Linked DNA regions of Oryzias latipes. The protein of the gene in region 4 interacts with the protein of the main gene of each other region in a pairwise test. Links are inferred from orthologs where the notes say so. Each region holds a gene or a part of one and is shown on either strand. Other genes may lie near its edges.

Region 1 (4,797 bases), on a different chromosome or scaffold from region 4:
ATCTATCTATCTATCTATCTATCTATCTATCTATCTATCTATCTATCTATCTATCTATCTATCTATCTATCTATCTATCTATCTATCTATCTATCTATCTATCTATCTATCTATCTATCTATCTATCTATCTATCTATCTATCTATCTATCTATCTATCTATCTTTATCTATCTATCTATCTATCTATCTATCTATCTATCTATCTATCTATCTATCTATCTATCTATCTATCTATCTATCTATCTATCTATCTATCTATCTATCTATCTATCTATCTATCTATCTATCTATCTATCTATCTATCTATCTATCTAATCTATCTATCTATCTATCTATCTATCTATCTATCTATCTATCTATCTATCTATCTATCTATCTATCTATCTATCTATCTATCTATCTATCTATCTATCTATCTATCTATCTATCTATCTATCTATCTATCTATCTATCTATCTATCTATCTATCTATCTATCTATCTATCTATCTATCTATCTATCTATCTATCTATCTATCTATCTATCTATCTATCTATCTATCTATCTATCTATCTATCTATCTATCTATCTATCTATCTATCTATCTATCTATCTATCTATCTATCTATCTATCTATCTATCTATCTATCTATCTATCTATCTATTCTATCTATCTATCTATCTATCTATCTATCTATCTATCTATCTATCTATCTATCTATCTATCTATCTATCTATCTATCTATCTATCTATCTATCTATCTATCTATCTATCTATCTATCTATCTATCTATCTATCTTATCTATCTATCTATCTATCTATCTATCTATCTATCTATCTATCTATCTATCTATCTATCTATCTATCTATCTATCTATCTATCTATCTATCTATCTAAGATAGCACAAGGGTTAAAGATAGGGTGAGGAGCTCGGTCACCTGCAGAGAGCTCGGAGTAGAACCGCTGCTCCTCCACATTGTGAGGAGCCAGTTGATGTGGCTCAAGCATCTGGTCCAGATGCAATGGTCACCTCCCTTGGGAGGTGTTCCTTGCATGTCCCACTGGGCAACAAAAATGGCGAGCAATACTGGAGCTATCCAGTTGTCCAGTTTTGATCCAGATGCCAGATCAGACAAGTAAAACAAAGACATACATGAATCCAGTCGACAACAAGTGGATCCATCAGAACTCAGCAGGGAGGTAGGTGCCAGTATTTTTGTCTGCTCCTGATTAACAACAATTGGAATAAAGAAACACTCAGAAACCCAATTTGAAGCCTAAATATCTTAATTAATGTTCGCCATCTTCCAACAAATGCCACAAGAACATGTTAAAACACTAAAAACACAATCTTCATCTGAGTGGGGTTTTAAATGGTGATTCTCTTGAACAATTTTCAAATAAAAGATGAGAAAAAGAACAACATTTTCTTTCTGAAGGCACAGTGACTTTATTCTGATTAGAAAACAGACAATGCAAATAAAGAAAAGTATTAAAGAAATAGCAACAGCAGAATTGCAGCTACAAACATGGTGTTTTAAGAGTGACATAATACTTAAATCCTGTTTCATGTGCGATGATTGGGTCTCGTAATTTAGAATTAAAAGAAGAAAGAAACACAATAGCAAAAATCTGGATTATTTATTCAGTAACAATGTAATTTTAGAAACTACAAAAACAATAAAAATAATAATATTAATTTGTCAAAAGATTATATTATTCAATATACCTTTTCAAAATGTGGAATAATATTTGGGTATTTAGTACCCAAAGGGATAAACGTACACTATTTTAGGAATCATTTACTTGATTTTTTTTTGTGGATTTTTTTTAGCTTTTACATTATTACATAGGATTTGTCCTTCTCGGCCACCGTATGATGTCGTGGCGTTTCCCTATGTGTAGAGACTAGACCTCTGATTATTTTTAAACTTTTCATTGTTTAATTCTTCGGAATATACTGTGGACATTTTCGGCTTCAGTGAGTAAGGATGAGACGCGCTGGTTTGGGTAAGAAACGAGTCTAAAACTGGGAAGTTTCAGATCGCTAGCCAGCTAACATGGTAGCTAGCATTAGCTAATGTTGTTTTCACTGGTGGATGGATGCAACACTCTGAGGCGTAGTTACATTTTTAATAAGGCTCTTGGCTTTATTCTCAGCATTTAATATTGTTTTTTGTTGTCTTGTGTAGGTGAAGGAGGCTCCGGGAATTATGTGGCGAGTGGCTACAGTGTTTATGAGGAGGAAAATGATCATTTACAGGAGGGACTGAGAGCTAAAGTCAGCGCCTTGAAAAGTGTAAGACCAGCTGCGACACAAAACTGTGCCTTCGTCTGTCACTATTCACTTGTTTCTGTTACCAATTTCTAGTTTTAAAAGCTATTTTACAAGTTTTACTTATCTAACAATCAATTCCTGTCTCTTGTCATTCCCAGCTGACTATTGATATTGGAACAGAGGTTAAATACCAGAATAAGATGTTGGAAGATATGGTGGGTTTCTCTTTGTATTTAAATGGCAAAGAAGTACCTTTACAGTTACTCTAAAGTCCTCACTCCTATGAAAAATGGTTTTAACATGTTCTTGTAGCAGCTTTCTCATGATGTATGGCATAAAAAGAAACAAAGATTAAACTTGTGTTTCTGAGTATTTCTTTATTCAAATTGTTTTAAATCGGGAGCAGACAAAAAATAAATCAAGCTTGAAAAAGAGTTTATTTTTGCTGTAGAAAATTGATTCTGGCTAAAAACAGCAGAATCATAATTAAAAGACAGAGGGACAATAGCTCAAAGAGTGGGATTTTAATAGTACCGACTTAGTAAACATTTTCTTGGATTTGAAGCGGTTCCTGATCCCCCCCTCATCTCTTCACAGGACTCGGACTTTGATTCTACAGGCGGACTGTTGGGAGCCACCATTGGCAGAGTAAAGCAGCTGTCCAGAGGGAGCCAGACCAAACTGCTCTGCTACATGCTGCTCTTCTGCCTTTTTGTCTTCTTTGTCCTCTACTGGTTCATCAAGCTGAGGTGATAAGAGCATCTTGTTGGACTTTGCCCCTTAGCTCCACGTCTTCATTCCCATTCACTAGCAGCTCTGACCTAAAAAAACACTTGTTCAATTGGTTAGGTGGGGATTTTTTTCTTTCGAGCATCATTTTGTTTCCTGATGTCCCCTAAATGAGCCATGAAAGGGCTTGAAATAGAAAATAGACAAGAAATAAACTTTGAAAGTGTTCATCTTTAACAAGGCAAATGACCCAGGAAAGCACCTTGTATACCATTTGTATACCTAACACATTAGTATTTGTGTTGCACAGCTACAGCTCAGTTATGATTAAACAAACAGGATCCACAGTCCAAGATACAACAGCTGCTGATGAGTTATTTTTTGTAAATGAGGTTAAGGTGGTTTGAGCTGTGGAATAATTAAACACAATTTGGTGTACTTATGTCAAGGAGGGAGTTGATATGGACAGGTTTGAACACAAGTACGGTAATTACAACTCATGTTGATGAGTTTTGGACAGCCAAATGAATTAAAGGCTGCCGATAGTCCTAAAAACCTAAAATCACAACTAAACAATTCAGTCTTAAATGCTGCCAGAGCAAAGTTTCCATAATAAAACACAATTTCAACATTGTTTTTTGCTATTTTAATTCTTCTGCCACTGATTTACAAACTATGAGCATAAACATTTGTTATACAAAATTATGTCAATCTTATTTCAACTGTTCAGTCCCATAAATGTGGACACACACAGTGCAGCACATAAGGGACACGTCTGTATTACATCACCTGACATTGTAAATCACCACAGAGACCTTCATTCTTGAGTAAAAATGTAAATAAAAACAGATTTTATGGCATCGTTTGTGTTTCCATGCTGGATGTGTTCAAAGCGTTTAACATAACTTCATCAATAAAAGAAGCAAACAATTACAAGAGATTTCCAAACTAATTTTTTTTTTACAAATATCTGAACAGGTCAGGATGGTTTAAAATTGCACTCTTGTATTAATTATCATCGTCTGAGCAGGAATCTGCTGCAAATGACATCACTTCCGGGGTAAAGTGTCCATGAACTTGCAGATTATTCCCAGCATCACCTCATCAGCCCCGGCGCCGATGGACAATAACCTGGAATCCCTGGAGGAGAGAGAAAAAAAGCAACAACACACTTCTGTAATTAACTGTCACTCAGGTGCTCATAAGTCCAGTCTTTGCATGAAAGTTCAACTTCAAGTCTCTAGTCTGTCAAACTTTAAATTAAACCGCAAATCTTAAGACTTGCAGTAAAAAAAATGAACATTTATTTGGTAATTAACTAGTAACCCTTGTGCTATTCTAGGCACTTTAATATTGGGAGTTGGGTCATCTAGACCCACTAGACAGTGCTCTGAACCTTTTTTCTTCAATGATTTGTGATCTTCACTGGTGTCCATGGATTAAATGAAATCTTTCCACCTTTGTCGTGGTAGGGAGAACACGTCAAAGTAAGGGTGGGGTCATCTAAGATAGCACAAGGGTTAAAGCAGACAGCTGGTGTTTCAGTCCAAGAGGCTTTTATTTTTAGACCTAACAATGATTTCCATGTAAACAAATGAACCTTTTTTTATAGGTCTAAAACCTCCAATTCTTGAGGTTGAGTCTTAATTCATGTAAGACCTGAGTTTAAACCCCATCTTTGGTACCACTTGATGCTATAATAGCTTCAAGAGAAGAACTAGTAAGTTAACACATTTCTTCGTTTCTCCATTAGGTTATTGTAACCATAGAAACACCCAATACATTAGCATAATTTACCCTCAGATGTC
Region 2 (4,996 bases), on a different chromosome or scaffold from region 4:
ACACTGTGTCCTGTCAGACAGGTAGTTTGCAAACCACCCAACAGAATGCTCTGACAGCCCAATACTGCGCAGTTTATTTTTAAGCACAGCATGGTCCACAGTATCAAAGGCTTTAGAGAGGTCGATGAAAAGGGCGGCACAGTGGCGTTTGTCATCCAGAGATTCAGATATGTCATTTAAAACTTTAAGAGCTGCGGTTGTTGTGCTGTGTTGCTTTCTAAAACCTGATTGTGATGGGCTTAAAATATTATTTGAAATGAGAAATTCTTTTAATTGTACGCTTATAAGACCTTCCAAAACTTTTGCCAAAATGGGTAACTTGGAAATTGGTCTATAGTTATTCAAATTTGTTGGGTCACCACCTTTAAGTAGAGGTAACACATAAGCGGACTTCCAAGCATGCGGAATGGTGTTTGTGGACAAAGACAAATTAAATAAATAGGTCAGTGGAAGTGCGATAGAGTCTGCTGCCGCTTTTATAAAATATGGTTCCAGATCATCAGGACCAGCAGATTTAGTAGGATCAAGGAGTTTAAGGGCTTCTGAGACTTCTGAAGTTGTGAAGAGGGAAAATGAGAAATTATGTATTAAATCTTCGTGATTCACAGGGAGGGAGTACTCAGCTGAATGTTTTATAGAATTAAATAATGATCCAGAGGAAACAAAATGCTCATTAAAACATAAAAGCATCTCTGTCTTGTCTGTTATATTACAAGTGTTTTTCATTATACTTGAAGGGAGCTCAATACCTGAATTATTTTCATTTAGGGACTTAACTATCTTCCAAAACTTTGAGGGATTATTTAAATTTTCTGTAGTATTTTTCAAAAAATGGTCAGATTTCACATTTCGAATTGCAGTAGTGCAAGCATTGCGTAGTTTTCTGAATGCCAGCCAGTCAGATGCATTATCAGAATGTCTAGCTTTTGCCCATGCTACATTCCTTTCATGTAGTTGGTTAGCCAAATCTGAGCTAAACCACGGATTATTACGACCTTTCACTTTATAGTGCCTGATAGGAGCATGTCTATCAAGGATTTTTGTAAATTCATTATGGAAATAACTCCAGGCCCTTTCAACATTATCAATTTCCATCATCGTGTGCCAGTCAAATTCATATAGTTCTTGACAAAAGGATTGTTCACAAAATTGCTTGACATTGCGTTTTATGATAATGTGTGGTTTGGTTTTGGGCATTTTTGTGTTTCTCGATGTAGCAATGATACAGTGATCACTTATATCATTTGCAAATACAGCAGCAGTTGAATACTTTGAAGGAGAATTTGTAAGAATCAAATCAATTAGCGAGGATTTCTCCGGAAATTTGGGGTTAGGTCGAGTAGGATCATTTACTAATTGAAAGAGGTTCAGGGAATCACAGTAAGATTTAAAATCATCAGAAACAGCTTGCAACCAGTTCCAGTTTAAATCTCCAATTATTACAACTTCATTGTATTTTAAGGAAGACAGCAGTTCCATTAAAGAGGGAAGAGCAGAGCCATCAGCAGAGGGCGCTCTATAGCAACCAACTAGGGTAATATGCAGAGAATTAGAGATCTCCAGATCAAGAGCTAAAAGTTCAAATTTCTTTGCCATTGATGTTTGCAGAAGAACTTTTGCATTAAGTTTAGTTTTGATATAGATGGCTATACCTCCCCCCCTTTTGGGACGATCAGCCCTAAAAACATTATAACCATTGATATGTATGTCAAAGTCAGTTATTGATTTGTTTAACCATGTTTCAGAAACAACAATTACATCTGCTTCAGTTGAAATTGCCCAAATGCGTATCATATCCATTTTAGGCAATAAACTCCTTACATTGAGATGAATGAATCCAAGACCATTACGAGATTTGAAGTCTTCAGGAGTACTAAAAGTAGGACTATCTGGTCCAGGGTTTGGTGGAATATTCCCGGAGATTAACAACAATAAGAAGATGAGGCGTCTTTGAAGTTGTGGTTTCTTACATACTGCATTTGAAGGTCCTAGAGATGGGAACGTTTTTAAGAATGCTATAGTAGAGTTTATAGTAAAATTCTTCTGAAGAACCATTACACAGCTGAGGTGCAGCAGTTCATTTGGATTGTCTGAGAGACACACAGATGCGTATGCATTATGACATTCATGAATAAAAGTTTTTGTTCCAGCATGAAATACACAACACACTGGATTCACTGGACGGGAGTCATCTGACTCCCGAAGAGCTACGGCAATGCCAAAGTCTCCGATGGAATATAAGGCCAATGTTAGCAGGAAGAATATTTCAGCCCTTGATATTATTTGCCGGGGGCTTTGAAGGAAGGTATTTAAAACTTTGGCCATGGCAGCCTTCAGTCCAGATATCTGCCAGAATCCAGTTCGGGATACACCGAGAGCCGTTTTTTTTTTTTTTTTTTTTTTTTTTGTTTTGTTTTGTTTTTTGTCAGACGTCCTCCCGTGACGTGCCACACAAACAGCAAGGAACACGGAGCTTGAAAGCTGCGGGCAAAAAGAGCGAAATTACTGCCCAAGCTTAGTTCAACTTTAAATGGGTATAGATCACACGATCCGAGGGTTGAATCAAGCACTTTCCTTCACACAAAGATAGCAAGCTCATCAACCAGCCAAGCGCTCCTGGATCTGCTTCGGATAGGGCATATCACACAGGTGCTAGGAAGGCAGGACGGCATCAGCATCTCAACTTTGGCAAAAATATATACAATAGTGCGCCAGCTTCGATAGAAGGTAAATTGGGACTTCCCTTAATTGATGAAGTATAAGGCCCGTCAAGGTTAGTCACGCCAGGAATCCAGCGACGATCACCCGGTGATAATCTTCATGATGACCGCATACAGTTCATGATCGTCGAAAAAATAAAAAATAAAAATAAAAAAAATAAAAATAAAAAATGGAGCGTTCCTTCGAATATCAGTGAACCAACCCTGGTTTTGGGTCTTAATGAATCGAGTAGGCTTTGACTCACAGAGTTTCGGAGCTAGCCTTTCTAAAAACAAGCACGGTAATTGATAAACAAAATACCATTCTCAGAAAGGCCAGAAACAACTATAAATTATAATCTAAAATAGCTTAAAAGTCGTTAAGAAAAAATAAAAATAAACTCATTCATTCACAGGACGCTAACAGACAGACAGAGTGCGTGCTGCCATCTTGGCGTCTCGACCTGTGCACCAAATAAAAATAGGACGCCCAGACATGGATAACCAGGGGGGTATTCCAGGGAGCATATTAAAACTACCCTGACTTTAATCCTGAACTCTGGCTGAAATCCGCCTGAACTTGCTTACTCTGGGTATGTTGGTTCCAAAAGACCGGATATGAGTTAGCGTAATTACGCTCGACTTGGTAACCCTGGGTTAATGCACGTGCACAGCAAGTACATAAAGACATTCTCAATGGATCACCGATTTCCGGAGTCACCATGGAAACGCGTGGTGAAAAAAAGAGAGCGCTACAATTCAGTGAGACGGAGTCTGAGATTAATGACGGCGTATGAAGATTATAAACCCATCAAAAAAGTAACACGGCTGCATCATCAAAAGAAAAAAGGAAAAAAAAGAGTTTCTGCTTGCAGAAAAATAACGGACAAAGTAAAAGCAATAGTTTCTGATCTTATTTCTATTATTCTTGTGACGCATATATATATATAACTTATCCAACTTAAATGAATTACTTATTACTTTATTCAACCTAATTTCTTACGTCTATCCAACTCAATATTTCTTTTTACAACTCAAATTTACATATTTATCTAACTAAATATCATATTACTCCAGTTTAATTAAATGTTTTTCAATCTTAATTTATTGCAATTCTTGAACTCTCCTATGTCTAAGAGGCTGCAGATTTTCTCATTTTTATAACAATAAAATGAATGAAACAAAATGGAACCACATTATGAAGTCTGTTCTCTGACTTAAATATTCCTCCACTGGGCAGTAAAGGTTCTAAATAAACTCGTGATCCTCTTCCTCCCTCTCCCTCATGGTGCTGAAAGAATTAAACATAACAGGGTAAAATAACTTGGTAAAACACATTAAAACAGCTAAACAACTAAACACATTTTGTCAAAAAACCACACTTGAACCCAAATCCGTCCAGACAGGCAAAGTGAATGGTATCCCACAATCCCTTGCGGTGCCGATCTAACAGCAGCACCAAAGTTACACCTACTTAATTGAATTAATTTGAATGAAAGTAAAATAACTGATAACTACGTGTTATTTTTAAGCTGACTTAAAAATGATTTCTCTTAACTGAAGCACATAATTAAGTTAGATCAAAGTAAAAAAGTTTATCTTTCCAACATCCATATGTGGTCTTATCACCATTTCACTGTGGAAAAAGTATTATCTGAGCTTCTTCATCCACTAAATCATCTTCAAATGGACACGCCATGCTGCTTCACCTCTCTGAAAACAAACTAACCTTCAACTAAACCTGCTCCAGACCAGGTTATGTTCAGAGCATGAGTTGCCATGGCAACTTGACATACCCTGAAACATACCTCTGTTTTTGGAACTGAAAGCTGAGGTTATCAACTTCCTTAGCCTCAAACTTACTGTGGTAGCTCACATAACCTGCTTTCTGGAACAGGGCCCTGGGCTTTCAGTAGTGCTACGTCTGAATCACTCAACACCGCATAAACTATTTTACGATGCAGAAACGAGCTTTGCGTTGCGTATTGATAATTCCTGTAGCCATGATAAATGCCTCTAAATAAACTGAATAAACAAAATCGTAAACAAATCTCTTTTTTTGCAACTACAGAAAGTAAAAAGCATTGAAAATAACACGTGAATAATTAACACGATTCAGATATTTTTAGGCCTTCAGAGAAGGCCTTGACGACCCACCACTGGACAAACGTCATCATCTGATCAGTGATGATCTAAATTACCAACCTTTCTTCTTTTGTTTCATTTTTCAACATTTTATGTTGTTTTCTAAAACTTTTTTTTTCATTCATTCTTTTCCTTTGCCGTTTTTCCCTCTC
Region 3 (4,965 bases), on a different chromosome or scaffold from region 4:
CACTTTTGCAGTAAGTGACAGAATTAATGCATAAAAACATTTTTATATTTACAAATTCAAAAGTGTGTATTCTTCAGTCAGCTGATACACTTGTGACTCCTCCCACTTGACAAATTGTTTCAAAAAACAATTTAAATAATCATTTTAGAAAAAGGACTACATCAACGGAACAATCAAAGCGGAACTTTAAGTTATTTGGTTGTTTCATTTAAAAAAAAAAAGTTGCTTTTTTTTACGAGAATAAAGTCGTAAATTTAATAGTATTATTATTTTTATGGTGGCCCTGACACTCAGGCATATTTCTATGAATCTGAAGTTGATGTGAAATTCCTTAAGACTGACCAAATTCAATGAAGGAGTATGGCCGCACGGCGCTGCTGATACGTTTGGGGTCATAGGTGACGATGAACTCCTTCTGTAGCTCGTCCAGGAAGCAGAATGCCAGCACGTTTGGGTAATTCGCAGTGCACACCATCAGATATCCAACACCCAGAGAGCTGGTGAAACTAATACCCACAGAACATCCAGAAAACATTGTTACTCTCAGTGCACTTCATCAAGAAGAAGAAAACCAACAGTAGTAATAAAGGACTGTAGGTCCTCACTACACCAGGTTTACTATGGTTGCCATTCTAGTGAAAACGTTCAAACTGGTCAGTTTATTTTTAGCCCTCGTAACATCTTGTGCTTTTGTCGTTCATTCCCTTCACCCTGAGGTGGATTGAGACACTCCTTCCTCCTCTCGGGAGGACCCAGTTTGCATATTTAAATAATAAAAAAACAATGAAATAGCTAATGACCCAAAAGAAACATCCCTGGTGCAAATCAAACCTGTGTTAATGTACCCTTGGTGTAAAAAACAAAAAATAAAGACCATACATACATTTCAGTCTGATTTAGATTGAAGCAGTAAAGGCTTCTAGACGTGACGACAGTTAGTTCTTGAATTTAAAATCAAAATCAAGTTTTATGTTGTGAGTACAGAAAATCTGACAGGGGCATTTTATTACGCAAAAGACTGACTAGAAATCTTTCTTAAATTTTTTAAACAGAGAACACGGACCTCACAGCAAAAGAAAGTCACGGGAGGACCCAAATCTTTGAACTTAAGCCTTCAAAATCAGAGCTTTAGTTCCAGTGTTTAAAACATTTTAACAAGCACTCTTTAACCGTTTACGCAATTGACGTAATTCTGAAGCGGAGAAAAGCAGTTTGTCCTGATATGCATCACTTAAGTCATGTGTTGCATTACGGTGCAAAGATGATACGCAAAGCCGTCAGAAACAGTTCCTTCACGTTGATTGGTCAAAGATTTACTTTCTCAAAGGGCGTGAGTTAAAATGTGTCAGCAGCAACGCCTCTGGTGTTAAAGGGTAAAAAAGCTGATACTCTGATGTGACGCCTTTACACCCATCTGATGGGCCAGGCTACGTGACGAGTGAAATTCTTTAAAAAGAAGAAATGGTAGTTTTATAATGTATGGTGCTGAGTTAATCTAAGTATTACTTAGAGCAGGGGTTCTCAAAGTTTCTGTCGCAGAGGGCCAAATTAAGAACTTGACATTAGACTGGGGAACAATTTTGGTGAAAAAAAAAATGGATAAACAGAAAAAGTTGTTTTTAATAACTTTAATGACCAAGTGTTGTTTGTACAATTAACAGGCCCTCCAGATATTTAACCCGGAGGTTGCTGTCCAGATCTTCTACTCGTCTAGTAATTGTATCATTTGACAGACTTTTTTTAGCTCTGGACAAACAATGTAAGCTGCTTTCAGAATACATTCTTTCTACAAACTCCTCACCACTTAAGGGTTTGCTACGCCGGGCCATTTCCAAAGCCACAACGTAGCTACTAGCTACTTTTTAAAGGTGACATATTTGTTGTTTACAACTGTTCTGTGAAGCAGTTGCTTTGTTTTCCAAACCGCAACACTAAATCCTAAGAAAATAAAAAGCCTTGTTTCAGAAAAAATGTCTCATTTTCTGTCTTGCAAGAAACCCAACATTATCAAGAAAGTTTCTCAAAAGTGCAATAATCTGAGTTTGAGAAAACATGTCTTTGTGCCTAGAATTTTTTTTTCTTAAAATAGGAATTATTCTTTAAACCATTTTTCTGATCCAATTGGCAGATTTCTTTCTTTTTTTTTTTTGCTTATTTTTAAGAAAAGACAATCTGACGGTGGGGAAAGAATTTTGACTTCTTTCAACAGGGCCTGTTTTGGAAGTGAAAATCCTAACAAATATCTTTTTTTAATGCCTAATTTACTTAAATATGGTCGCCTAGTAAAACGTTTTTTTTTTGGGCAGAAAAAGCATGGAATGAGACCTACTTTACATTATATGGTCCAGACTTAAGTGTGCAGCGGTCAGGGAACTGGTTGAGCTTCCTTGAAAGCCCTTTGAGGTGTCTCTTTGTCTCCTGAAGCTCTTTCTCCATCTCATAATCAGTTGATGCTGAGAGAGGAAGACCATCTCCAACTCGGACCACCGAAGCAAACAACACCATCGACATGTTAGAGCTTTGGATGTCTCACTGCAGATCTGCAAACAGAGGGAAAAGCAGGAAATAAAACGTGCTCAGACACAGGTATATAATGCTTACAGGTCTCCTTCACTCGTTTGTATATCCATCTGGTCTATGACTGACTTAACTGGACAGGTAAACTTTTACAGGTAGAAATGTCTGGATCAGTATCTGTATGTCAGAAATGTTAGCATATTTTAAGTTTCGTCTGTTATAAAGTTTCCTCTGTAGTGAATATATATATTAAAGGATTTCACATTAAAGCTAAAGCAACTCTTTTTGACATAAGATGCTGATCCAGCACTGACCGTTTGTCAGAACCATGGATAGCTCCGTAGCCACGTGAAGACACCCTAAAGTAAAGAGGAAGTGATTTCTCTCCCGAAATTTATCTTCAACAGAAATGGGGACATTTCGCTATGAAGTAAACACTTCCTCCAAACTGCACAAACGAATATTACTGATGACATAAACAATAGCTCTCTTGTTAGCAGCACATCCAGTGTTGAGAATTAGCAACTTAGCTTAGCTCTTAGAAGTAGAAAGAAAAAAAACTTCTACACAACAAACGTGTACATTGGGACGTTGCATAAATTGGATCTGATGTGCAAAACTGTAAATACAAAGCAAAAGTATGCGGGCTAAAATGCAAAGAAAGCGACCAGGTTAATCGTCTGGCAGGTTAGCTAGCGTTAGCTGCTAGCAAGATGCAAGTACAGGTACATGACGTTGCTAACTATTTTAACAAAAGCAAAGGGATATAAATTGAAATCAGCAAATGTCGGAGAAACAAATACAATTGACTAAAAAAGTGATACCTGGAGAAAAAATGTAACATCATGCGGACATCTAACAACGTGCAGCTTTAAAATACTCCAGTTCCTCTGTTCTGTTTACGTGGCTCTGTCGCTGTGCATTGTGGGTAAAGATACTCACGAACGTCACCACGAAGGGAAATTTGATTCAATTAGTTTTAAAAACCGAAAATTAAAAAAAAGAAATAAAAAAAGCATAATTAAATACAGGAACGAAAAAAAAGCGTATAACTCCGTAAAGAAGCAACCCTTTTATAGATACTTGTTCCCTCTTCTTTGCCTGTCAGTTGTTCCCTTCAGCCAGGGTCACCACAGTGAATCATCTGCCTTCATCTGTCTATATATTCTCTGCATCCCCTGCCTGGCCCCACATTGCTCCTGATGGTTACAAGTTAGCACCAGTGTTCGACAACAGAGCGTGAGGGTGTGTTTACATGGATGAATGGATCTATGACTGTAGAGCATTTGGGCCTTCTAAGAAGGTATAGCACAACATAAATGCTTTCAGTGAATGTGGATTGCAGTTTGCAGATTGCAGGAGGAACATTTCAGGTGTGATGTCTGACAACAGTGTGTAAGAAAAAATGGAGACAAGGCGTAGAAGACTAAAACGCAGCTTCTCTGCAAATTGAGGCGATAGATAAATTATGACAGAAGGATCCTGTAAGAACAGTGAACACTTCCCCTTTATCTCAGATTTTAATATACGTTCCTATTATTATATTTTAATCAATCACTTTTAGAAGTTCTTAATATTGATCATTTGGATTGCAACTTGCTCCAGATGTTATTTTCCACTGAAAGCCAGTTAAACATTAGCCTCATTTCAAAGCATCTGATGTTGCAGTTTATTTTTTGGACTAGGACCAAGGCATTAAAAATAAACAATGTGTATACATGAGCGGCCAAGTTTTGTTGCTCCGATCAGACATGAAATAGGCCAGTTACTTTGTACCCCCCCAGCGTTCATACATTTCCCTAGTAAAATGTGTGAGAGGAAGAAGAAATGACTGTGACTGGAGGAGATGGTAGGCAGCCTCATCGTTCACAGATACCTGTGCAATCTCTCCTGAGCTCAGGCAGTGTGTCAGCCTGAGGGGACCTTCATGGCCCGTGTGTGTTGGGCGGTGGGGGAGGACAGCAACAAAGAGGGGGGAAAGATGGAAAGTGGATGATGGATGTGAGCTGCTGCTGACAGGTTGATGAATAGCCACAGATTTCTCTGAGTGTTTAGAGCAGGAAAGTGTCAGGTGTGGGGACAGCAGTGCTGTTATTGCAGTGACACAATCTAAACAGAAGATCGGGAACATCCACTGAATTCAAATTGATCGCTGCCAGCTGGTTTTTACCAACAATATCAACTTTTTTTTAGAGCAGAGAGGTTTTTCTAAAAATACGACTGCTTTTGCTTCTTTTTGCATCGTGTCGAGTAAATCTGACCTTTCATAACGGTAAATTGACATTAGTATTGTCATTATGACAGCTTTTAGACATATCTGAACAAAATTTTAGGTACCCACAACAGTCACCAATAGAGTGATTGACCTTAAATCGAAAGATTGCAGGTTCGATTCCCGCCCATGTGTCTAAGTGTCCTTGGGCAAGACACTGAACCCCACCTTGCTCC
Region 4 (5,001 bases):
TTCTGTCAAATAGATAAAATTATTGTTTAAATATGTAAAGATGCTACCTGAGTGCGCTGCATCCGGACATTTATGGGAATATATTTGCCATCATCGTCCGACTTTTTGGATTCAATACCTCAGTTGAGACGAGAAGAAACTTAAGTGGTTTGAAGACAAAATTCTTGATTTGAACTCCCAAATACTCACTTTTCAGCTTCCTCTGGATCTGGCTCGCTAATATTTTGATCTCTTCTCGAAGAGTTTGAAGCTCTTTCTTCATACCTAACCCGAGAGGAAAACAGCATTCATGAGCACAGATCCTCAGTTTGAGAGTTTTCTGAGCAGCACGCCGTGGTCGAAATAAAACACACAACGTCAGAAATTGAATGCAACTGGAGTCTCAGGATGACATTTTTTTTGTAAGATGTGTGGAAATCTACGAAATACCACTAAAGTTAGCTGCATCAGTTCAACACATTTACCACAAAAAAAAAAGAAACAACAAAAAAGGAGAAGAGAAAGAAGAAGGGTGTGTTGAAAATGTCAAAATAATTGTCCTCTTTTTTATGATTTATTTTTGTCTTGATACTGTGAGTAAACGTTAGGATTTAAAGACAGAGAGAAGGGAGGAATTTATGTTTGTATTTCTTATTTCTTTCACAGCTCCAGCAGAGACATTTTGGACGGTACAAACAAGTTGTGGGCTCCTGCCATGTGTTTGGCCCAAAACAAACCAAAGTACAAGGAGATATTCATAAAAATGTTTTTAAAAAATTGTTTTTTATTATTATATTCCTTTCATTTTTGACCACCTTTGTGTGCTAAAGTATCTGCCACTGAGAAAAATCACTAAATCAGGAGTTGATTGATCAGCAGAGAAGCATCAGACACCCTCATGAAAGGAGCTCCCTTAATTGCATTTTGGAAGAAGACGACAAAGAAAAACATGTTCACTGCGATCCAATAGAGAAAACTAATCTGTAACATATTTGGTGCCCTCATTGAGCCTAAAAATCTGATTGGAAAGGCGCCCCCAACTAGCCCCGCCTTACTCTGGTGGGATCCCTGTGAAAAATCTGGAGAAACGTCGTTCTAATCCTAAAGTGCAACTACACTGATCCTCTGTTACAAAATGCAACACGAATTTATCAAATTCATAAAGTTGACGTACTCTCCTCTGGCAGCGCCACGCCCAGCACCGTCTTCTGTTTGTTCTCCAGCTCTGACACCATCCTCTTTAAGTTCTGCAACCCCTCGTGGATTTCTTGCACCTTAGAAAGAAGTTTGTAAAGTTTTAGGATTAACAGGCAAAATCATCTTCCCAGACAAACAGCTTTAACTGCAACTGTAACATCCTGACCTTTTTTGATCAGAAAACTTCAATTAATGGGTTGGGAAATGCAGTGTTTGTATAAAAAAAAAAGAAATCCAAGGAAATATTAGAACAAAGATCCCTCTGCTGACTCTTATTTTAGAATCTTCTCAAGGTTTATAGATCATAATGGATCCTTGACTTTAAATAAAATCCATAACTGCCTTGACTTTATGATTTCATCTCTCTTTACTTAGTTTATTTTGATTTCCTCACAAATGGTTTGGATTGAAAGACATGCTCAGAAACTTTTGCCATCTTGATGGTATCTGACTCCAGCCTCCCTCAAAGAAAAACATCTGAATTTTAAAAATATAAAGAAATTTGGAGAAAATAGAAACACCATTATTACAAACCAACACCTTTGAACATGTTTCATTTAACTGATACAAAAAGTATCCTAAGATTTTCTAATGTGAGAAAAAAGTCAGTTGGATAAACAACTGTGTGTTATTGTTGGTGTCCGTCTGACTCTTTCACTCAGCCAAACTAAAATAAAAACCTGAAAAGAGGATTTCTGTTGCTAAAGCCCTTTTATTGTTTGGGGGGGGGGAAATGCTTAGCATAGAAATTATTTTTTCCAAACAATTAAAGTTCAATCAAAACTTAAAAAACCTAAAAAGTTAAACCGTGATAATATATGGAAATGCTTCTCTTTACTTCTTTCTGTTTTAATGTTTCTCTTCTAGATCATTATAACTACAGTTTGCAACAAGTTGAACATCATGATCATAATTTATAGCAGCTTCTATGACACTTTATTTAAACTTTCTTTTCAGAGATTTTCAAAATAAAACATGGCATTTCTTTCCCCTCACTGTAAAAGTAATGCTGCTTTCGTGGACAGTTGGTAAACTGTAGCATCAAATAATAAGTGGAGGTCTTACACACTAAAGATGGCTACAATCAACTAAAATGTCAAAACTTTATGGACATCTGCATTTTTCCACTAAAAGTCTTTTATTTATATTGTTAAGTGCAGCCCTACATACAGGCCAGTGTTTGTTGTCCGTTAATGTTTCACTCATATTTAAAGCTTCATAGTTGACCTTTTATATTTATTTACTTTCCTTTTGTTCTGGGATTAGAGGAGAATTTAATGTCGGCAAAACAATTGTGTGTGTTACAGCTAAACCTTCAGCTCTGTCCTCTGTCTCATAAACATGAAGCAGAGGCCCATTGGAGGAGCATTTCCCAGGACATCCGGTATCTGATAATACTACAAATCATTTGGAGGAGCCCAGATCGAAAACTTGGATGATCACCTTTTTGAAAAAAGCCTCATTCTCCTTATCTTCCTTTGTTGAAGAGCTGCCAGGTTTGCTCATCAAAGCCGTTTTCTCCTCGTTCTCCTCATCTGAGGCCTCGGCTTTCTGCGGTGAGGTGGACAGAAACACACAAGAGGAGGATGAAACAGAGCTGTGTGAAGGTGCCGGTTCAGATCTGCAGCCGGGAGCCCTGCCCTTATCCCGGCCTGACAGCTTCCTTGGAGGAAGAACTCAAGCGGACGTTAGCAAAGCAATATCGCCACAAGTGCTTCCAAGCGTAGAAAATAAGGGGGGGGGGGGGGTATATTGTTTTGCTCTCATATGCGGGCTTACAGTTAATAAATAATCAGAGACCGAAGCATTTCAAAGTTCACTTAAACAATCAATACAGCTAGGTTAGCAAGCTAACGCTATTGCTAACACACCAACTTTAAAACTTACATTATCTAACTCTTTTGTTCGATCCCGCATTTTTGATGTCGATGTTCAGAGTTGGTGTCGGAAACGCTGCGAGCACGCGGCCGAGGAAGGACAACGGTTCCCAAGCAACAAAAGCTGCGGACTTTCCACTGCTGTCATTCAGCAAGTTTAACTCCAGAGCAACAGTTCTCACAGTTCTTCCTCTGCGGTTCAAACAAACAGAATTTAATCGATGGCGCCCCCTTGTGACAGACACCTTTACTACAGGCAACAAAACCTGCTTTGGTTTAATTCAATTGGAATAGCCAGAACCATACTATATTTGTACGACGGAGTATTAGAATTGACAGAGTATTACTATATTACTTATGATTATATACTATTATTTTATATTACTATTGACAATAAGAATAAATAGCAAATATGATTATGAAATTATAATATAAATATGAGAACGAAGTCGTAAAATTGTGGGGAAAAAGTCAACATTTACCAAAAATAAAGTTGAAAATGTATTATTTAAAAAGGAAAAAGTCATGTTTTTTTAAATTAAGGTTATAACTTCATGAAACTAAAGTTGTGCAATTACAAAAAAGAAAACAAAAAAGAAAAAATCATAATCAAAGTGATAGATATTCATCAAATTTCTCTGCAACATCATTTAAACAGGAACCATTTAATTGTCATAGTTGAAAATTTTTAAAAACTAAATTTAACACTTTACTTAAGAAAAAAAGCATGACATCTCTTTGAAAATTGCAAGTTTTTACAGTTTAAACATATGACTTTATTCTTGAAAATTGTAAAATTTCTTTTTGATAATTGCATGACGTTTTTGTAGTAATTGTTTTCTTAGTTCTTCTAAAATGTAAACTTTTTGTATTTTACACCTTTTTTCATATATAAATGTTAATTTTTCTGCTTTTATAGTGGCCATAATACTTTGTTGTTCATTTGACATATGAACAAAATAATATGAATCAAACATTTTGTCAAATTAAAAATTAAAACAAGAGTTAAAATAAGAGTGAACAGAGATAATACCCAGCAACAATCTCTCTCCACTCTTTCACATATTCTGTCGCCTCCTCTTTTATTAAGTTTTTTGGGAATTCCCTAAATTACACATGCGCTGAGCTCTAAGGAGTGGAAGACAGATTGAACACAACTGCAGCGCCATCAGAAAATATTAATTGCAACATGTCCATCTTATCACAGTCTCCCCACATCATCTTTGGACCTGCAAAGCCTTTTCTCACGGATAACTGACACAGAGCGTCCTTTGATTCCGGTCTTGACACAGATACCACATAGTTCTCATGCTGATCTTGGGAAGACGCTAAGATAGTCGGTTTCCTCCCAAGAGTTTCACCTTCACCTTCCTGTGAAACAGAACTTGGACACAAACACTTCTGCATGTATGATTATATTACCTATAGAGCTAGGTAATACATAAAAGCAAATATGAGATAACTTACCGGTATATACATTTTTCTAACACATATATTAAATCTTATTGCTTTACTTTGAAGAACATGATTTATCTTCTGTGCCACACATTATCTCTAGATTTTAGTGCTAACCATAACCTCTTTGTTCTGGGATTTAACTTGATGCAGATTTTTTGAGTGCAAACCATCAACAACTGCTGCTGAAGAGTGCCAGAACAAAGATGCATGACCGCCAAATCATCAGCATAAAGCCTGTGATTAAACTACACACCCACTGTCATGCATTGAGCTTCCCAAAGATGTTGTCCTCATCAAAAGGTATAGAGGGCAGCCTTGTACCCCAAAAGGATAAGTGTAACCGGTCGCTTTCTGCGTTGTGCTGGTTAATATATGGTGTGACACAGTGTTACCTCTTGGAGAGAAGCCTCCCTTTATTCTGGTAATAAAACAAACAGAAAACAATACACTGTGTGATCCTGCCCACTCCAGTTCCTATACAAACAAAACA
Region 5 (4,469 bases), on a different chromosome or scaffold from region 4:
GACCTAGAGGACCTGGATGAGACTGTCAATATCCTTTAAGGCTCACTCTCTTTACACCTCCCTGTTTTTGGGGTTCTGGGATTGGAGCTCAGCACAGAGAAAGCATGTTCCTTAACACATTGCAAACGCATAGTAGAGTCAAACCCAAAGAAGTTTAATCTGGATGCAGCGGAGCTGTCAAAGAGGAAGGCCTTCATCACCAGCACCAGACATATGGTCAGGGTAAGCCTCCGCCACACCTCAGATGTGAACTCGCTTTGGGAGGAACCCCAAACGTCTGCAGCACGGTGGTCTGGTTCCCTTCGGTTTGGTCAGTCTGGTAGTTCATTGAAATAGTTGAAGACCAATGGCTCCTCCAAGTACAGCCCTCAAAGATTTTAAAAGTAGAACTCATCACATCTGGAGAGAATGGTGGCCTGACGCTGGGCAGCATAACAGACCCCTAAACTAAAAAGATGATCTTTACTGTTCAGCTGTTTGCACACATAATGAATGATTATCCTTTAGAAAGCATCCCCTCCACAGGAACACATTTGGTCTGGAAAGGTTTGGTTTGTTTTTTAATAGCAGCAAAGACATCAGTGGGATAATGTCACGTGTCACGATTCCCTAACAAGGAATACTTATTCTAAACAAAACAACATGTTACAGCTGTCTGAATGGTGGGCCTGACAGAGTAAAGAGGGAGTTTTGTTGAGTCCATCTAAAAACAAAAAACAATACAGAAAGGAAGGCCTTCATAAAATCAACTTCAGTGATTTTACAAAAAATAAAGCACAAAAGATCTTTCAGACAAGACGGTAAATATATATTTTTAACGTCTTATTTTAACACTATATTTAACTGAAAGCTGATTTAGTTCTGGGGAACTGCAGCTTTTTCAGGAGTGCTTCAGATTTACGAGGGGGGGGGGGGGTGCTATAGCACAGTTTACATCAGAAATCTAACCATACATGCCCCATTAGTTATTTTCTTAACACGGATCAGTTGTCTTGGACTCCTCCCCCCTGGCGCTCCAAACAGGAAGTACCCGCTGGTTTCAGGAAGTCCCATAGAGCCTATAGAGAACTAAACAGCTGTTATTCAGTCATCCTATTGGCCAGAAGAACCATTCTGGATCTGATACCTTTTTTAACATCTTCTTGATAATCCAAATTTAGTATTTTGTATTTAAACTTATTCAAGTTACAAACGGACCAATCAGATGCCTCAATAAAAGTAGGAGGAGCCTGCTGGCCCCCAGGTTGAACGTTTGACAGATTTTCTGTAGCTCACGTTTAAGTGTTTGGTGTGAGTGGTTACCATAGAAACGATGACTCAGACCAATCACTGCATACTGTTCCAACATGGTGGCGTTTGTGTTGGGGAAAAAACGTCAACAGAAGGAAGTAACCCATTTTCTGTAGATGACGACACACTTCTCACTCCTGTTCTCCTAAACAGTCAATAGTTTTGAGGGTTTTTAAACTTCAAACAAAAACTTTCATCACTTTGAATCCAAGCTTTACTATAAGATATTCTTAAGTGACATGAGAGGACAAAGAGAACTTCTTATTTCTGATCAAAATTTAAAAACCTGTTTACACAGAGTGCCATATAATTATATCCAACTTTTTTTTCATAAAATACATTTTTTTAGTTCTGGTTCATCGCTGTTGTTATAAGAGTGAGACGCCATGACCAAGTTTTCTGTAATGAACCATAAATCCATGTATGTGACGTCTTCACTTCGTGACATAGTCTGCCGTTTCTTTTCTAGGAGATGAAGGAGCAGATGTCGTCTCCAGGAACGGCTTCCTTGGACGGGAAGAGCAAACAGGTACCAAGTCTCTCTCCTGGTTAGACAAATGCTACCTTTGACAGAGGATGACATCATGAAACTTTGTCCTAAACTCCAGTACAGCGCTCCCTCGTTTATAGCGCGAGTTACAATCCCCTGCTATAGTTGTCATCCACAAAGTGGGGGATCTATTTTTTACAATAAGCACAGATGCTTGAAGGCAGTAAAACTCCTCACTACAGACTTTATCCCTGATATCTCTCCCCTGTTTTGTCTCTCATAGTTGAAGTTTACATTTGAAGGCAATTACAGGCCTCTGAACCCACACATTTAATGGCTGATTGAACACTTCTGTTGCTCCACTGTATGCTTTTCTTTTGTGTTCAGGCTTTGCTCGGTGAGCGTGGAGCTCAAGGACGCATATGGCAGCCCGGTTCAGACAAATACCGCCGTCTTGACCATCAGCTGCAGAGCGCCAACAGTCAGTTCATTGAGGAGGCACAGGTGCAGCAGCAGGTACAGACGGACCGAGAACAGATGGGGGCATGGAGGTGATGCTGAGCCCAGACCAAACGCTGGTGTGTGTGTTTCAGCTGATCGCAGAGCAGCAGGACGAACAGCTGGAACTGGTGTCTGGGTCCATCAACGTTCTCAAGAACATGTCTGAAAGAATCGGCGTGGAGCTGGACGAACAGGCTGAGTAAGAACCACAAGCTGACCCTTTAAACACATTAATGCCAAATATGACATCACCCATTTGCCAACGTCAACACCTGATAATGGCTGACCGTTTATGAATCTGCTGTGTTGTGATGGTGAAATTGTGGATTAATTATAAAAAAATAAATGTAAATACTTTTTTTAATTAAAAATAACAAGTCGTTCAAATGCAATGCATTGAAGTCTTCCAGATTTTGGAATAGTAGATTTGCCCAGCACTACAGAAAGTGCACTGTGTAGAGAGCAGTGAAGGAGTTCAGTCACAGTCTAGGGGTCTTGATCAGTGCTGCTCACTCCTGGTCGTCCTACCACCCCGTCTAGAAAACCCAGTTTTCTACATCTCTAATCCCTGCTTGGTTAACTCAGTCAGGTGCTTCCACATTCTGATTGAATAAACACACCTGGTTCAGGTAAAAGGTAGCATGATTCGGTTCATTTAGAAATGAAGGACTCAATGTGTTGCTGAGAGCTTCAAGACTTACCAGATAACAGCTGTAACAGAAGCTCACTTCAACAGCATATAAACAGGTCAACTTCGGTACTATATGTGTATTACACAGCAGATGTTAGAAGGAGCCACAAAGTTAAATTGTTGCCACAATCAAATAAGGGAAAAATAATTACAATTTTGCCCCTCTCACGATGCCGTTGTGGAAAAAGGGCTCATCAAAATCTGGTTTTGGTCCTTCTTTGCCAAATTCTAGTTGTTAAGCTATAAAGACAGGAACTGTTAAATAACAAATTTCTTGTTTTATGGTAATTGCACATCATGTTCTTATTGTGAAAGGGCCGGTTGGATGGGATGGGTCGTTGTTGTGTTGATGATGGTGGAATGAATAAAGAAAACGTTACGCTGCGAAGTGAATTTCAATTTTGTTTAACATTGGTAGCAGGGGATGATTAGCAACTACAGAGTCCTACAAACCTTTGACGAAGGAAAACCGTACAAAAGTTGGAAAAAATAAGTTGGACCCGAGTTACAGACCTTGAAAAGAAGAAGCAAGCACTCTCCGTTCCTTTGGCGCTTTCTTCTGGGCAAGCGAGAGACGTGGCGATAGAAATATCAAAGGAGGATTTGCTCAAGGACACAGGACACGTCACTAATAAAGCTAGATGATCGGTTTCTCAAAGAACAAAGACCGGACCTACTCAAGTTTGGATAACGAGAGACAGTAATGTATCCGTGACGGATTAGATAATTGATTTTGAACAGCGGTATACTCAAATGTGTACATACAAGAGGGATCTTCCGGATGCAGTATGAGCATTTTGTTATGTGTGAATAGATTTAGTGTCTCTTGGATGCTGTGCTTGCTGAGTACAGCAAGACTCATCTCTGTCAGCAAAAGAAAAAGATCTGCTCACGCCCAAGATTGGACAAATTCTCTGGGTTGCAAGGCAGAGTCGACCAAAAGTCTTGTTTGATGCTTTAAATCCATGAAACGAATAGAACGGTGTGCAAACTGAAATCCAGTGAGGTGGCTCTGAACTTTGAGCTTCTAGGCAGGGACTCAGCCCTCAAGATGAGGGTGTTCAGTGATGCCTCATTTGGCAATCTTTCAGATGGAGCCACTCAAGAAGGAAACCTGATAGTTCTAATGGGAGAACGTGGAAAGTTTTCACCGCTCCCCCTCAAAGAGAGTGAACAGAATTGTGAGGAGCACACCTGCTGGAGAAACACTGGCAATGTCTGATGGAACTGACAATGCACCGTTTGCAGCAACACTGTTCTCTGAACCAACGACTGAACACGCTCCACCCATAATCTGTGTCACAGATTCACTGGCTGACGCACTGAAGTCTGTCTGGAAAAAAGTGCCAACTCATCCAAGCAGAGTTGAGCGAGTGTTGTGGTACAACGTGAAAGAACAACTTGCAGACTGCTTTACCAAAAGGTGCATCTGTTAAGGCTCACTCTCTTTACACCTCCCTGTTTTTGGGGTTCTGGGATTGGAGCTCAGCACAGAGA

What was found.
Region 1: the proteins of syntaxin-4 (region 4) and bet1 interact in binary tests that used the Homo sapiens proteins (3 or more experiments, as listed by UniProt). The two-hybrid records come from large-scale screens. The link is inferred for Oryzias latipes from reciprocal best matches to the Homo sapiens genes STX4 and BET1.
Region 2: the proteins of syntaxin-4 (region 4) and vamp4 interact in binary tests that used the Homo sapiens proteins (3 or more experiments, as listed by UniProt). The two-hybrid records come from large-scale screens. The link is inferred for Oryzias latipes from reciprocal best matches to the Homo sapiens genes STX4 and VAMP4.
Region 3: the proteins of syntaxin-4 (region 4) and sec22a interact in binary tests that used the Homo sapiens proteins (3 or more experiments, as listed by UniProt). The two-hybrid records come from large-scale screens. The link is inferred for Oryzias latipes from reciprocal best matches to the Homo sapiens genes STX4 and SEC22A.
Region 5: the proteins of syntaxin-4 (region 4) and syntaxin-6 interact in binary tests that used the Homo sapiens proteins (3 or more experiments, as listed by UniProt). The two-hybrid records come from large-scale screens. The link is inferred for Oryzias latipes from reciprocal best matches to the Homo sapiens genes STX4 and STX6.

What each region holds. Positions count from the first base shown.
Region 1 is NC_019869.2:10,286,401-10,291,197, reverse strand, and holds bet1 (BET1 homolog), read left to right. Parts: upstream 1-1,831; 5' UTR 1,832-1,973; coding exon 1,974-1,992; intron 1,993-2,174; coding exon 2,175-2,281; intron 2,282-2,418; coding exon 2,419-2,475; intron 2,476-2,857; coding exon 2,858-3,013; 3' UTR 3,014-3,916; downstream 3,917-4,797. Other genes in the region: probable acyl-CoA dehydrogenase 6, read right to left, coding at 4,039-4,129. UniProt on the Homo sapiens protein: Required for vesicular transport from the ER to the Golgi complex. Functions as a SNARE involved in the docking process of ER-derived vesicles with the cis-Golgi membrane.
Region 2 is NC_019862.2:3,864,772-3,869,767, reverse strand, and holds the start of vamp4 (vesicle-associated membrane protein 4), read right to left. Parts: upstream 3,287-4,996; 5' UTR 1-3,286. UniProt on the Homo sapiens protein: Involved in the pathway that functions to remove an inhibitor (probably synaptotagmin-4) of calcium-triggered exocytosis during the maturation of secretory granules.
Region 3 is NC_019879.2:4,520,071-4,525,035, forward strand, and holds the start of sec22a (vesicle-trafficking protein SEC22a), read right to left. Parts: upstream 3,481-4,965; 5' UTR 3,342-3,480; intron 2,541-3,341; 5' UTR 2,512-2,540; coding exon 2,330-2,511; intron 507-2,329; coding exon 343-506; intron 1-342. UniProt on the Homo sapiens protein: May be involved in vesicle transport between the ER and the Golgi complex.
Region 4 is NC_019877.2:19,255,424-19,260,424, forward strand, and holds the start of syntaxin-4, read right to left. Parts: upstream 3,256-5,001; 5' UTR 3,094-3,255; coding exon 3,064-3,093; intron 2,728-3,063; coding exon 2,620-2,727; intron 1,254-2,619; coding exon 1,154-1,253; intron 265-1,153; coding exon 190-264; intron 119-189; coding exon 48-118; intron 1-47. UniProt on the Homo sapiens protein: Plasma membrane t-SNARE that mediates docking of transport vesicles. Necessary for the translocation of SLC2A4 from intracellular vesicles to the plasma membrane.
Region 5 is NC_019862.2:1,649,529-1,653,997, forward strand, and holds part of syntaxin-6, read left to right. Parts: coding exon 1-28; intron 29-127; coding exon 128-222; intron 223-1,759; coding exon 1,760-1,819; intron 1,820-2,167; coding exon 2,168-2,296; intron 2,297-2,373; coding exon 2,374-2,480; intron 2,481-2,486; exon of another isoform or gene 2,487-4,395; intron 4,396-4,469. UniProt on the Homo sapiens protein: SNARE promoting movement of transport vesicles to target membranes. Targets endosomes to the trans-Golgi network, and may therefore function in retrograde trafficking.